Linked DNA regions of Xenopus tropicalis. Each later gene encodes a partner of the first gene's protein in a complex. Links are inferred from orthologs where the notes say so. Each region holds a gene or a part of one and is shown in the gene's direction. Other genes may lie near its edges. The genes, in order: oprl1 and pnoc.

The links.
Region 2: the proteins of oprl1 (region 1) and pnoc are in contact, whole or in part, in a cryo-EM structure (PDB 8F7X), measured with the Homo sapiens proteins. The link is inferred for Xenopus tropicalis from reciprocal best matches to the Homo sapiens genes OPRL1 and PNOC. Residues at the interface, in NP_000904.1 of Homo sapiens: Gln107, Asp110, Gly114, Phe115, Trp116, Val126, Ile127, Asp130, Tyr131, Met134, Gln192, Glu194, Ile198, Glu199, Cys200, Leu201, Val202, Ile219, Val279, Gln280, Val283, Gln286, Gln291, Pro292, Ser293, Val298, Leu301, Arg302, Thr305, Tyr309; in NP_006219.1 of Homo sapiens: Phe130, Gly131, Gly132, Phe133, Thr134, Gly135, Ala136, Arg137, Lys138, Ser139, Ala140, Arg141, Lys142, Leu143.

What each region holds. Positions count from the first base shown.
Region 1 is NC_030686.2:1,581,530-1,589,405, forward strand, and holds part of oprl1 (nociceptin receptor), read left to right. Parts: intron 1-4,080; coding exon 4,081-4,436; intron 4,437-7,876.
Region 2 is NC_030681.2:152,382,792-152,390,667, forward strand, and holds part of pnoc (prepronociceptin precursor), read left to right. Parts: intron 1-3,470; 5' UTR 3,471-3,484; coding exon of another isoform or gene 3,485-3,487; coding exon 3,488-3,610; intron 3,611-7,876.

The sequences.
Region 1 (7,876 bases):
CCCTTGTGTGTAGTCTCTGCCCCTTGTGTGTAGTCTCTGCCCCTTGTGTGTAGTCTCTGCCCTTTGTGTGTAGTCTCTGTCCCTTGTGTGTAGTCTCTGTCCCTTGGGTGTAGTCTCTGTCCCCTGTATGTAGTCTCTGTCCCTTGTGTGTAGTCTCTGCCCCTTGTGTGTAGTCTCTGCCCCTTGTGTGTAGTCTCTGCCCCTTGTGTGTAGTCTCTGCCCCTTGTGTGTAGTCTCTGTCCCTTGTGTGTGGTCTCTGTCCCTTGTGTGTAGTCTCTGTCCCCTGTGTGTATTCTCTGTCCCTTGTGTGTAGTCTCTGCCCCTTTGTGTAGTCTCTGTCTCTTGTGTGTAGTCTCTGTCCCCTGTGTGTATTCTCTGTCCCTTGTGTGTAGTCTCTGTCCCTTGTGTGTAGTCTCTGTCCCTTGTGTGTAGTCTCTGTCCCTTGTGTGTAGTCTCTGTCCCTTGTGTGTAGTCTCTGCCCCTTTGTGTAGTCTCTGTCCCCTGTGTGTAGTCTCTGTCCCTTGTGTGTGGTCTCTGCCCCTTGTGTGTGGTCTCTGTCCCTTGTGTGTGGTCTCTGTCCCTTGTGTGTAGTCTCTGTCCCCTGTGTGTAGTCTCTGTCCCTTGTGTGTAGTCTCTGTCCCCTGTGTGTAGTCTCTGTCCCTTGTGTGTAGTCTCTGTCCCTTGTGTGTAGTCTCTGCCCCTTTGTGTAGTCTCTGTCCCCTGTGTGTAGTCTCTGTCCCTTGTGTGTGGCCTCTGCCCCTTGTGTGTGGTCTCTGCCCCTTGTGTGTGGTCTCTGTCCCTTGTGTGTGGTCTCTGCCCCTTGTGTGTGGTCTCTGTCCCCTGTGTGTAGTCTCTGTCCCCTGTGTGTGGTCTCTGTCCCTTGTGTGTAGTCTCTGTCCCCTGTATGTAGTCTCTGTCCCTTGTGTGTAGTCTCTGCCCCTTGTGTGTAGTCTCTGCCCCTTGTGTGTAGTCTCTGCCCCTTGTGTGTAGTCTCTGTCCCTTGTGTGTAGTCTCTGCCCCTTGTGTGTAGTCTCTGCCCCTTGTGTGTAGTCTCTGTCCCTTGGGTGTAGTCTCTGTCCCCTGTATGTAGTCTCTGTCCTTGTGTGTAGTCTCTGCCCTTGTGTGTAGTCCTGCCCTTGTGTGTAGTCTCTGCCCCTTGTGTGTAGTCTCTGTCCCTTGTGTGTGGTCTCTGTCCCTTGTGTGTAGTCTCTGTCCCTTGTGTGTGGTCTCTGTTTCTTGTGTGTGGTCTCTGTCTCTTGTGTGTGGTCTCTGTCCCTTGGGTGTAGTCTCTGTCCCCTGTATGTAGTCTCTGTCCCTTGTGTGTAGTCTCTGCCCCTTGTGTGTAGTCTCTGCCCCTTGTGTGTAGTCTCTGCCCCTTGTGTGTAGTCTCTGCCCCTTGTGTGTGGTCTCTGTCTCTTGTGTGTGGTCTCTGTCCCTTGTGTGTGGTCTCTGTCCCTTGTGTGTAGTCTCTGCCCCTTGTGTGTAGTCTCTGCCCCTTGTGTGTAGTCTCTGCCCCTTGTGTGTAGTCTCTGCCCCTTGTGTGTAGTCTCTGCCCCTTGTGTGTAGGTTCTGAGCAGTCACTTACAGATCAGACCGAGCTCTTGGGGTTTCTGGGTCTCGCTGGCTCTTTGCTCGGGGAGAGACTTTGCTAATAGACTGACAGTGGCCCCGGGGCCCGAGACTTCCCTGAGTGCTGCTCCCAGCGGGGCCCCTGGCTCTGCCCCCAGGAACGAATCTATTGATACTGATTAATGGGAAATAAATGGCTCTAATGAATCATTTCCTGACACTGAGGCTGAAGCCTTCACTCTCCCCACGTGGGTCTCACTGACTGTCTCACTGACTGTCTCACTGACTGTCTCACTGACTGTCTCACTGACACTGAGGCTGAAGCCTTCACTCTCCCCACGTGGGTCTCACTGACTGTCTCACTGACTGTCTCACTGACTGTCTCACTGACACTGAGGCCGAAGCCTTCACTCTCCCCACGTGGGTCTCACTGACTGTCTCACTGACTGTCTCACTTACACTGAGGCCGAAGCCTTCACTCTCCCCACGTGGGTCTCACTGACTGTCTCACTGACTGTCTCACTGACACTGAGGCCGAAGCCTTCACTCTCCCCACGTGGGTCTCACTGACTGTCTCACTGACTGTCTCACTGACACTGAGGCCGAAGCCTTCACTCTCCCCACGTGGGTCTCACTGACTGTCTCACTGACTGTCTCACTGACTGTCTCACTGACACTGAGGCCGAAGCCTTCACTCTCCCCACGTGGGTCTCACTGACTGTCTCACTGACTGTCTCACTGACTGTCTCACTGACACTGAGGCTAAAGCCTTCACTCTCCCCACGTGGGTCTCACTGACTGTCTCACTGACTGTCTCACTGACACTGAGGCTGAAGCCTTCACTCTCCCCACGTGGGTCGCACTGACTGTCTCACTGACTGTCTCACTGACTGTCTCACTGACACTGAGGCCGAAGCCTTGGAGAGAGATTTCCCCACGTGTGTCTCACTGACTGTCTCACTGACTGTCTCACTGACTGTCTCACTGACTGTCTCACTGACACTGAGGCTGAAGCCTTCACTCTCCCCATGTGGGTCTCACTGACTGTCTCACTGACACTGAGGCCGAAGCCTTCACTCTCCCCACGTGGGTCTCACTGACTGTCTCACTGACTGTCTCACTGACACTGAGGCTGAAGCCTTCACTCTCCCCACGTGGGTCTCACTGACTGTCTCACTGACACTGAGGCCGATGCCTTGGAGAGAGATTTCCCCACGTGGGTCTCACTGGGGGTCTCACTGGGGGTCTCACTGACACTCAGTAATACAAATGCCCTGTGAGTTCCCTGAATAGAGAGTTTGGCCTTCGGGGCAGATCTGCGAGAGTGAGGTGTAACTGTCTCTTTCCCTTTGTGCCCTGTACTCAGTGTGGGAGAGACAGCTGTACATTCTGCACACGTACAGGGTAGATAGGCCGTTACTCCGTCACTCAGCAGGATGGGGGAGAAGCAGTTACTCTCTTTATCCCATTAATCGTTAACATCGTTAACACAAACACCTTATACCTTATAAGCCCTTCATTCTCCCACTGGGACCCCCCCATCCCTACTCAGCCCACTCCATCATCCTCTGACCACACCTCCTCTCTTCTAAGCCCCTCCCTCTCTCACAGAATAGCACTTTCTCCCTTAGAGACTCTTCTCCTTGAGCCCCACCTTCTCCTATAGTTCCAGTACCAAAGACTTTCTTTTTCTCCTCCCACTGAGCCCCCCTTTCTCCTAATGAGCCTTGTCTTCTCCTATTGAGCCCCTCCCCCCCCACTAAGTAGAGGTCCATGTCTCCTATGTTCCACCGAGCTACTTCTTCTCCCCTTGCCTCCTATGTTCCACCGAGCTACTTCTTCTCCCCTTGCCTCCTATGTTCCACCGAGCTACTTCTTCTCCCCTTGCCTCCTATGTTCCACTGAGCTACTTCTTCTCCTCTTGCCTCCTACGTTCCACCGAGCTACTTCTTCTCCCCTTGCCTCCTACGTTCCACCGAGCTACTTCTTCTCCCCTTGCCTCCTATGTTCCACTGAGCTACTTCTTCTCCCCTTGCCTCCTACGTTCCACCGAGCTACTTCTTCTCCCCTTGCCTCCTACGGTTCACCGAGCTACTTCTTCTCCCCTTGCCTCCTATGTTCCACCGAGCTACTTCTTCTCCCCTTGCCTCCTACGTTCCACCGAGCTACTTCTTCTCCCCTTGCCTCCTACGTTCCACCGAGCTACTTCTTCTCCCCTTGCCTCCTACGTTCCACCGAGCTACTTCTTCTCCCCTTGCCTCCTATGTTCCACCGAGCTACTTCTTCTCCCCTTGCCTCCTATGTTCCACCGAGCTACTTCTTCTCCATACTGAGTCCTTTCATCTTCTTCTCCTGCCATAAAGCTGAAGGCGCTATATCTGCACCCCACTATTTCCAGTACACAGACACCCAACACATATTGTTCCTGTCAGGTCCATGTTGGAATCCCACAAGGTATCTCCCCCTCAATGGCCTTTTTGCCTTCTTCTCACCAATCTTTGTTCTTTCCAGATACACCAAGATGAAGACTGCAACCAACATCTACATTTTCAACTTGGCTTTGGCAGACGCCTTGGTCTTGGTCACCCTGCCGTTCCAAGGCACCGATATCTTCATGGGCATCTGGCCATTTGGCAACGTTCTCTGCAAGATCGCCATAGCCATTGACTACTACAACATGTTCACCAGCACCTTCACCCTGACCATGATGAGCGTTGACCGTTACATCGCCATCTGCCACCCGGTCAAGGCGCTGGATATCCGCACCCCACACAAGGCCAAGGTGGTCAACGTCTGCATCTGGATCCTGGCCTCGTTCATTGGGATCCCCGTTATGGTCATGGGCTCCGCCGAGATGGAGAACGATGGTGAGTAGCTCCCAAGGGTAACTTAACTTTCATTGAGTGTTTTAGTGCAGAATAGATGGGGGAATAAAATGCATTACAATATGGGCCAGCGCTTGCAATGGGCTTAGGTCACACAAGACTTTTAGTAGCTGCTACTTTTGGTTCCCAGTTGTATGTCGGCGCTGTACGTACTTTTTGGGGGCTCTGCATAATATGATTGAACCCCCAAAAAGTACGTACAGCGCCGACATACAACTGCTCTGCATAATATGATTGAACCCCCAAAAAGTACGTACAGCGCCGACATACAACTGGGAACCAAAAGTAGCAGCTACTAAAAGTAAGTGATGTACTGGAAATCAGTTTACTGGAATTCTGGGAATGCAAAGAAACATTTACCCCCAATTTTCAACCCAGATGGCTTTTCCCTGTATTCATTCTGATTCAGCAGGAACAGCCCCCTATAGGGATTCCCCTGTACTAAGCGCAATTCAGCAGGAACAGCCCCTTATAGGGATTCCTCTGGAACTTAGCGCAATTCAGCAGGAACAGCCCCTTATAGGGATTCCTCTGGAACTTAGCGCAATTCAGCAGGAACAGCCCCTTATAGGGATTCCTCTGGAACTTAGCGCAATTCAGCAGGAACAGCCCCCTATAGGGATTCCCCTGTACTAAGCGCAATTCAGCAGGAAAAGCTTATGCACCAGTCAGCAAGAGAGAGGCTGTATCATGGGCCTGGAGAGCCTAACCAATCAAATCTCTGGAGAGACTAACCAATCAAATCTCTGGAGAGACTAACCAATCAAATGTCAGCTCTCTCAGTCACAAGGAAGTGCAATAGATGTCAGTCCAGTCAGCTCTTTTAGGGTCTAAGTTTGATCGTATCTGTGTATATTGTATATCTGTGTATATTGTATATCTGTGTATATTGTATATCTGTGTATATTGTATATCTGTGTAGGAACATCACATGACATGTCTACGTCATTGGCCCTCAGACTTGGGACCCCCATTGACTTCTTAGCCCCCTAAACCCCCAAATCCACATTATGCAAAAACTCAGCTCTTTCAAAGGTGCCCCATCTATACCTTCCTGTGCAGTTATTGTGGCACCCCAGCATTGTACCCTGGTATTGTCCCCGGCATTGTACCCCAGCATTGTCCCCGCATTGTACCCCAGCATTGTCCCCGGCATTGTACCCCTGCATTGTCCCCTGGTATTGTCCCCGGCATTGTACCCCAGCATTGTCCCCTGGTATTGCCCCGGCATTGTACCCCAGCATTGTCCCCTGGTATTGTCCCCGGCATTGTACCCCAGCATTGTCCCCTGGTATTGTCCCCGGCATTGTACCCCAGCATTGTCCCTGGTATTGTCCCCGGCATTGTACCCCAGCATTGTCCCCTGGTATTGTCCCCGGCATTGTACCCCAGCATTGTCCCCCGGCATTGTACCCTGGTATTGTACCCCAGCATTGTACCCTGGTATTGTCCCCGGCCATGTACCCCAGCATTGTCCCCCCCGCATTGTACCCTGGTATTGTACCCCAGCATTGTCCCCTGGTATTGTCCCCGGCATTGTACCCCAGCATTGGTCCCCCGGCATTGTACCCCAGCATTGTCCCCTGGTATTGTCCCCAGCATTGTACCCCAGCATTGTCCCCCGGCATTGTACCCCAGCATTGTCCCCGGCATTTTACCCTGGTATTGTACCCCAGCATTGTCCCCCGGCATTGTACCCCAGCATTGTCCCCGCATTGTACCCCAGCATTGTCCCCCCCATTGTACTTGTACCCCAGCATTGTCCCGGCAATGTACCCCAGCATTGTCCCCTGGTATTGTCCCACCGGCATTTTACCCTGGTATTGTACCCCGGCATTTTACCCTGGTATTGTACCCCAGCATTGCCCCTGCATTGTACCCCAGCATTGTCCCCTGGCATTGTACCCTGGTATTGTACCCCAGCATTGTCCCCTGGCATTGTACCCTGGTATTGTACCCCAGCATTGTACCCCAGCATTGTACCCAGCATTGTCCCCTGGTATTGTACCCCAGCATGTCCCCCGGCATTGTACCCTGGTATTGTACCCCAGCATTGTCCCCTGGTATTGTACCCCAGCATTGTCCCCGGCTATTGTACCCCAGCATTGTCCCCTGGTATTGTACCCCAGCATTGTCCCTGGCATTGTACCCTGGTATTGTACCCCAGCATTGTCCCCTGGTATTGTACCCCAGCATTGTCGCCCCGGCATTGTACCCTGGTATTGTACCCCAGCATTGTACCCCAGCATTGTACCCCAGCATTGTCCCCCGGTATTGTACCCCAGCATTGTCCCCCGGCATTGTACCCTGGTATTGTACCCCAGCATTGTCCCCTGGTATTGTCCCCAGCATTGTACCCCAGCATTGTCCCCGGCATTTTACCCTGGTATTGTACCCCTGCATCGTCCCCTGGTATTGCCCCCCGGCATTGTACCCAGCATTGTCCCCCGGCATTGTACCCCAGCATTGTCCCCTGGTATTGTCCCCAGCATTGTACCCCAGCATTGTCCCCCGGCATTGTACTTGTAACCCAGCATTGTCCCCCGCATTGTACCCCAGCATTGTCCCCTGGTATTGTCCCCCGGCATTTTACCCTGGTATTGTACCCCAGCATTGTCCTCTGCATTGAACCCCCGGCATTTTACCGGTATTGTACCCCAGCATTGTCCCCTGCATTGTACCCCGGCATTGTCCCTGGTATGTCCCCCGGCATTTTACCCTGGTATTGTCCCAGCATGTTCCCTGCATTGAACCCCGGCATCGTACCCCAGCATTGTCCCCAGCATTGAACCCCGGCATCGTACCCCAGCATTGTCCCCCGGCATTGTACCCCAGCATTGTCCCCTGGTATTGTCCCCGGCATTGTACCCCAGCATTGTCCCCTGGTATTGTCCCCGGTATTGTACCCCAGCATTGTCCCCCGGCATTGTACCCTGGTATTGTACCCCAGCATTGTCCCCTGGTATTGTCCCCAGCATTGTACCCCAGCATTGTCCCCGGCATTTTACCCTGGTATTGTACCCCTGCATCGTCCCCGTATTGTCCCCGGCATTGTACCCCCACATTGTCCCCCGGCATTGTACCCCAGCATTGTCCCCTGGTATTGTCCCAGCATTGTCCCCCGGCATTGTACCCCAGCATTGTCCCCCGGCATTGTACTTGTAACCCAGCATTGTCCCCCGGCATTGTACCCCAGCATTGTCCCCTGGTATTGTCCCCTCGGCATTTTACCCTGGTATTGTACCCCAGCATTGTCCCCTGCATTGAACCCCGGCATTTTACCCTGGTATTGTACCCCAGCATTGTCCCCTGCATTGTACCCCAGCATTGTCCCCTGTATTGTCCCCGGCATTTTACCCTGGTATTGTACCCCAGCATTGTCCCCTGCATTGAACCCCGGCATCGTACCCCAGCATTGTCCC
Region 2 (7,876 bases), on another chromosome or scaffold:
TATTGGCAGATACACAATACTGCACAGATTTTATAGTAATCCGAGCGGAATTTTCTAACCTGTCAGATCAACATGGTACGAAAATTATCGGGATGATCATTTGGAGCCCACACACGGTTTGAAAATCATACAAAACATGTGTGTATGGGCAGCTTTAGGCATAACTAGGGTTGCCAACTGTCCGGTTTTGACCCGGTTTCAAAACCGGGCAGGGCTCGCTGAGATTGATGCGGCGATTGGCTGCCATAGCTACACTGCCCCGCCTTTTCTCCACCCAGTGACATCAACGCCCGCCCCCTGCCAGGAGACTAAAGCAGGCAACCCCAGGCATAACTGGCCATCAAAATATGACTCTCCCTGCATGGAGAGAGAAGGAAGAGAGCCAGATTGCTGGAGGGGGGGTAGTAAACATTTTTATGATAGCTCCCCTTTAAGATCCCAGGGCCTGGGGGCAGTTTCAAACTTTGTAGCTCCTGTCACTGAACATTTGGTAAATGTGTGAGCCACATACAGTGGAGGAAATAATTATTTGACCCCTCACTGATTTTGTAAGTTTGTCCAATGACAAAGAAATGAAAAGTCTCAGAACAGTATCATTTCAATGGTAGGTTTATTTTAACAGTGGCAGATAGCACATCAAAAGGAAAATCGAAAAAATAACTTTAAATAAAAGATAGCAACTGATTTGCATTTCATTGAGTGAAATAAGTTTTTGAACCCCTACCAACCATTAAGAGTTCTGGCTCCCACAGAGTGGTTAGACACTTCTACTCAATTAGTCAACCTCATTAAGGACACCTGTCTTAACTAGTCACCTGTATAAAAGACACCTGTCCACAGAATCAATCAATCAAGCAGACTCCAAACTCTCCAACATGGGAAAGACCAAAGAGCTGTCCAAGGATGTCAGAGACAAAATTGTAGACCTGCACAAGGCTGGAATGGGCTACAAAACCATTAGCAAGAAGCTGAGAGAGAAGGTGACAACTGTTGGTGCGATTGTTCGAAAATGGAAGGAGCACAAAATGACCATCAATCGACCTCGCTCTGGGGCTACACACAAGATCTCACCTCGTGGGGTGTCAATGATTCTGAGAAAGGTGAAAAAGCATCCTAGAACTACACGGGAGGAGTTAGTTAATGACCTCAAATTAGCAGGGACCACAGTCACCAAGAAAACCATTGGAAACACATTACACCGCAATGGATTAAAATCCTGCAGGGCTCGCAAGGTCCCCCTGCTCAAGAAGGCACATGTGCAGGCCTGAAGTTTGCCAATGAACACCTGAATGATTCTGTGAGTGACTGGGAGAAGGTGCTGTGGTCTGATGAGACCAAAATAGAGCTCTTTGGCATTAACTCAACTCGCTGTGTTTGGAGGAAGAAAAATGCTGCCTATGACCCCCAAAACACTGTCCCCACCGTCAAGCATGGGGGTGGAAACATTTTGCTTTGGGGGTGTTTTTCTGCTAAGGGCACAGGACAACTTATTCGCATTAACGGGAAAATGGACGGAGCCATGTATCGTGAAATCCTGAACGACAACCTCCTTCCCTCTGCCAGGAAACTGAAAATGGGTCGTGGATGGGTGTTCCAGCACGACAATGACCCAAAACATACAGCAAAGGCAACAAAGGAGTGGCTCAAGAAGAAGCACATTAAGGTCATGGAGTGGCCTAGTCAGTCTCCGGACCTTAATCCAATAGAAAACCTATGGAGGGAGCTCAAGCTCAGAGTTGCACAGAGACAGAAACCTTAGGGATTTAGAGATGATCTGCAAAGAGGAGTGGGACCAACATTCCTCCTAAAATGTGCGCAAACTTGCTCATCAATTACAAGAAACGTTTGGCCTCTGTGCTTGCAAACAAGGGTTTTTCCACTAAGTATTAAGTCTTTTTTTGTTAGAGGGTTCAAAAACTTATTTCACTCAATGAAATGCAAATCAGTTGCTATCTTTTATTTAAAGTTATTTTTTCGATTTTCCTTTTGATGTGCTATCTGCCACTGTTAAAATAAACCTACCATTGAAATGATACTGTTCTGAGACTTTTCATTTCTTTGTCATTGGATAAACTTAAAAAATCAGTGAGGGGTCAAATAATTATTTCCTCCACTGTATTATATGTGGATATGTTACATGGTATAACTGAATCAGTAAAGGCAAAACCCACCGAAAAATGAGAAACATTTCATATTATTATTAATCATTATTCATTGTGCATTATTATCATTATCCATACTAATTAGAGGTCCCTCCCACTAACCCATCATTCTCTTTGTATGTGTCACATGGTCTAACTAAATGAGTCAAGCAAACCCTAGATAGGTGTGACAGCTCATATAAACTGCTCGCTCTGCTTGCAACAGGAATCAGTTAGTTGCCCTTCAATGGCAACCGGCAAATAAGATCAGACGCGGGGATATAAACTGGTAATCTCCCAGCAGCTCAATATCGGCCCATAAACAGCCTGATGAAGTGTACAGATCTGGCAAATGGTGCGTGATTATTGCTTCTGTTATACAAATATGGCCGCGGAATGATATTAATATGACAGTAGCTTAATTTGCCTTTATCCGCGAAAAGTACAGTATATTGTAATGTCTGCCTGGCCACTTACCAGCTCCTCATTATTTATATGCACAGCTTACTATTGATTGGGCACTATTGATACTTATCAATTAAATTAGCAAATGCTGAATTGCATATAGACAGGGCTATGGATTATGGAGGTGCTGCTGCTCCCCCCCCCAATTCCTATTAGTTCCCCCACCTCCCCTGTTTTCCAGCTCCAATATTCAATGTATTTCCCTTTCCTCCCCATTCTATTAAATAGAGCCCCCTTTGCTTTATGGCCTTTCTTGCTCCAGCTTATCAATGGGTACCTGTGCCTTTTGGTCCCTCCCCCTCAGTCTGCTTCTTCTCTTTTGTATTTCATGTTTCCTCTTATTCTGTTCTTTAAAAAAAAAATATATAAATTGCTAATTTTTGTTATTTCAAACATCACAGATATGCTGGAAAATAAGCGCACTATTACATGCCCCTTGCCTGTGGCGGGCATACGGAATGGGGTTAAATACTACATTTAATAATAAGGTGCTTATTAGCAAGGATGGTTTTTATATTCGGTTTGGTAAATCCGTGGCCAACCTTCACCCACTAAAACAGATATCACTTCTATAGGGGCCTCCAAGTAAAGACCCAACCTGCAAGGATGGGTGTAGAGAATAGTGGGGGAGTATAGCGTACCCCCATTCTACCTGGGAATCCCCTAACCCTTACTGCCTGTAGGTGGAGCAGCTGAGCCACCACCGTTGATTCCATGCATTAAGTACACTGTATTGGCAAACAGGTTGTATTTGGCGGCCCCAGCAATAATACAAATATTATTACTATTATTATTAACATTTATTTATAAAGCGCCAACATATTCCGCAGCGCTGTACAATTATATATGTGTGTTTCCCTGCAGCTCTGTGTGAAGCCATGATGAAGGCGCTTCAGTGGAATATAGTCTTGCTGTGCTTGCTGGGACACGTGCTGTGCGACTGCCAGAAGGACTGCATGACGTGCAACAAGCACCTCTACCAACAAGACAACTTCAACACTCTGGTAAGTCATTGGTGAAACCCTAACGCTTGGGCGTATTGCCATATCATCTTATAGAATAGGCAGGCTGTATGAGAGCCACGCATTTCGTTTGGGCAAAATACAGGCGATCCCCACCAATATAAGGGAATGAGTCTGCTCTGCTCCAAAAATACTTATACCCCTATTTGCCAGAGATGGTACAGGAACCAATCAGCAGCTAGGCTGACCTAATAGGGAACTGAAACCTGTCTTTGCTTGTGTGACTACAGGGCTGTGATTGGACTGTTAGGACACAGCCACCCCTCATTTGAAACACAGACAGGGACCTGAGAGGATCTATAGAAACCCCCAATAAAGGGGCCATTTTTACAGATAGGATTAATGTTTAGCACCATGTATTATTCATAACTGCCTACAAAGGTTAGGGTTTTTTTCATTCATATATGTCTCCTTTAATCATAATCTATCCAAAATGATTTCTTGTTTTATTCCAAAGTTCAGATGTTAATAAAGAGTTAATTATAATTACATATAATAACAAAGGTACTCTATAATACTACTCTTGTCATGGTGGTTAGTACTGGTGCAATTGCTCTTTTGGATAAAGGAAAATTGGACATAGCTTCACATGGATCAGATAACAGTTACTGGTTGTGTGTCTTTTTCTAGGGTTGATCATAAATGGTAACTCTGCAGCTCCGGGGCCCTAGTACCAGTTCCAGCCTGGGAACTATCTGCACGGAGTTTGTTTGTCCTTGCCATGTCTGTGTGGCTTACCTTCTGTCCTCCTACACTACAAACCCATACTGCCTCCTGTGTATGTGTGAATGGGATAGGGACCTTAAATTGTAAGCTCCTCTGCGAAAGGGACTGATGGGAGTGTGATAGGGACCTTAGATTGTAAGCTCACTGGGGCAGGGACTGATGGGAATGGGATAGGGACCTTAAATTGTAAGCTCCTCTGCGAAAGGGACTGATGGGAGTGTGATAGGGACCTTAGATTGTAAGCTCACTGGGGCAGGGACTGATGGGAATGGGATAGGGACCTTAAATTGTAAGCTCCTCTGCGAAAGGGACTGATGGGAATGTGATAGGGACATTAGATTGTAAGCTCACTGGGGCAGGGACTGATGGGAATGGGATAGGGACCTTAGATTGTAAGCTCACTGGGGCAGGGACTGATGGGAATGGGATAGGGACCTTAAATTGTAATCTCACTGGGGCAGGGACTGATGGGAATGTGATAGGGACCTTAGATGGTAAGCTCACTTGGGCAGGGACTGATGGGAATGTGATAGGGACCTTAGATTGTAAGCTCACTGGGGCAGGGACTGATGGGAATGTGATAGGGGCCTTAGATTGTAAGCTCACTGGGGCAGGGACTGATGGGAATGTGATAGGGACCTTAGATTGTAAGCTCACTGGGGCAGGGACTGATGGGAATGGGATAGGGACCTTAGATTGTAAGCTCACTGGGGCAGGGACTGATGGGAATGGGATAGGGACCTTAGATTGTAAGCTCACTGGGGCAGGGACTGATGGGAATGTGATAGGGACCTTAGATTGTAAGCTCCACTGGGGCAGGAAGTGATGGGAATGGGATAGGGACCTTAGATTGTAAGCTCACTGGGGCAGGGACTGATGGGAATGGGATAGGGACCTTAGATTGTAAGCTCACTGGAGCAGGGACTGATGGGAATGTGATAGGGACCTTAGATTGTAAGCTCACTGGGGCAGGGACTGATGGGAATGTGATAGGGACCTCAGATTGTAAGCTCCACTGGGGCAGGGACTAATGGGAATGTGATAGGGACCTTAGATTGTAAGCTCACTGGGGCAGGGGCTGATGGGAAAGTGATAGGGACCTTAGATTGTAAGCTCACTGGGGCAGGGGATGATGGGAATGTGATAGGGACCTTAGATTGTAAGCTCACTGGGGCAGGGGCTGAGGGGAATGTGATAGGGACCTTAGATTGTAAGCTCACTGGGGCAGGGACTGATGGGAATTTGATAGGGACCTTAGATTGTAAGCTCCATTGGGGCAGGGGCTTATGGGAATGTGATAGGGACCTTAGATTGTAAGCTCACTGGGGCAGGGGCTGATGGGAATGGGATAAGGACCTTAGATTGTAAGCTCACTGGGGCAGGGACTGATGGGGACCTTAGATTGTAAGCTCACTGGGGCAGGGACTGATGGGAATGTGATAGGGACCTTAGATTGTAAGCTCCACTGGGGCAGGGGCTGACGGGAATGGGATAGGGACCTTAGATTGTAAGCTCACTGGGGCAGGGACTGATGGGAATGTGATAGGGACCTTAGATTGTAAGCTCACTGGGGCAGGGACTGATGGGAATGTGATAGGGACCTTAGATTGTAAGCTCCACTGGGGCAGGGACTGATGGGAATGGGATAGGGACCTTAGATTGTAAGCTCACTGGGGCAGGGACTGATGGGAATGTGATAGGGACCTTAGATTGTAGGCTCACTGGGGCAGGGGCTGACGGGAATGGGATAGGGACCTTAGATTGTAAGCTCCACTGGGGCACAGACTGATGTGAGTGATGTATAATCACTATAAAGTGCTGCAGAATAAGTTGGTGTTATATAAGCAAAATATAATAATTACAGAATATCTCAATGAGTTTTTGTTTTCCATTTAAATGTATTTTCGCCTTTGCTGATCAGCAGAATGGCTGCTATGGGCCATGTGTGCCTTTCAGCCTGACTGCAGAGAGGGCCAATTCTGCCAATAAAAGCACTGATCCAGTTTCATGTCCTCACTACTGCCTCCTATTCACTTCTATGGGAGTGTGTGACAACTCTCACTAAGCAGTTTTGGGGATTCCTATTTAAGTGAAATGGAGTCAGAAGAGAATACACAGAATATTCCTTCTCTATATATTTATACATAGCTCCGGGGTACACCATTTGCCTCTGCAGAGATCATTTTTAAAATTCAAATATACCAACAGAAACAATAGTGCCTATATATAGTATTAGTATATAGATGAATGTGTTTTAACAAAGTATTACTGGGGATCTATTATTTTGCTTTAAGCAAAAAATTCTCATTCTTAAAAATGGAGGTGGGGTCATGACGTGGCGATTGGCCAATCCCGTCAATTTCGGACAGCCCTTCTGAAAACTGGGCTGAGCAATATAAGGACGGGCAGCTCAGTAATGTATATATGTAGGGCTGAGGGATATCAGGACGGGCAGCTCAGTAATGTATATATGTAGGGCTGAGCAATATCAGGACGGGCAGCTCAGTAATGTATATATGTAGGGCTGAGCGATATCAGGACGGGCAGCTCAGTAATGTATATATGTAGGGCTGAGCGATATCAGGACGGGCAGCTCAGTAATGTATATATGTAGGGCTGAGCGATATCAGGACGGGCAGCTCAGTAATGTATATATGTAGGGCTGAACGATATCAGGACAGGCAGCTCAGTAATGTATATATGTAGGGCTGAGCGATATCAGGACAGGCAGCTCAGTAATGTATATATGTAGGGCTGAGTGATATCAGGACGGGCAGCTCAGTAATGTATATATGTAGGGCTGAGCAATATCAGGACGGGCAGCTCAGTAATGTATATATGTAGGGCTGAGCGATATCAGGACGGGCAGCTCAGTAATGTATATATGTAGGGCTGAACGATATCAGGACAGGCAGCTCAGTAATGTATATATGTAGGGCTGAGCGATATCAGGACAGGCAGCTCAGTAATGTATATATGTAGGGCTGAGTGATATCAGGACGGGCAGCTCAGTAATGTATATATGTAGGGCTGAGCAATATCAGGACGGGCAGCTCAGTAATGTATATATGTAGGGCTGAGCAATATCAGGACGGGCAGCTCAGTAATGTATATATGTAGGGCTGAGCAATATCAGGACGGGCAGCTCAGTAATGTATATATATAGGGCTGAGCAATATCAGGACGGGCAGCTCAGTAATGTATATATGTAGGGCTGAGCGATATCAGGACGGGCAGCTAAGTAATGTATATATGTAGGGCTGAGCGATATCAGGACGGGCAGCTCAGTAATGTATATATGTAGGGCTGAGCGATATCAGGACAGGCAGCTCAGTAATGGTAAATGACAGAACACATGATGCGCCAGGGAAGGCACTGGGAATGGATATGAGGAGCCGGAGACAAGTCGGAGGATTATTTTTATCTGCCATGATTCATTTGCCGCAGAAGACTGACCTGTTTGAAATCTAATTCAGAACTGAGTCCATTAAGCATGAATTCTTATCATGTAATTAAGTAGAT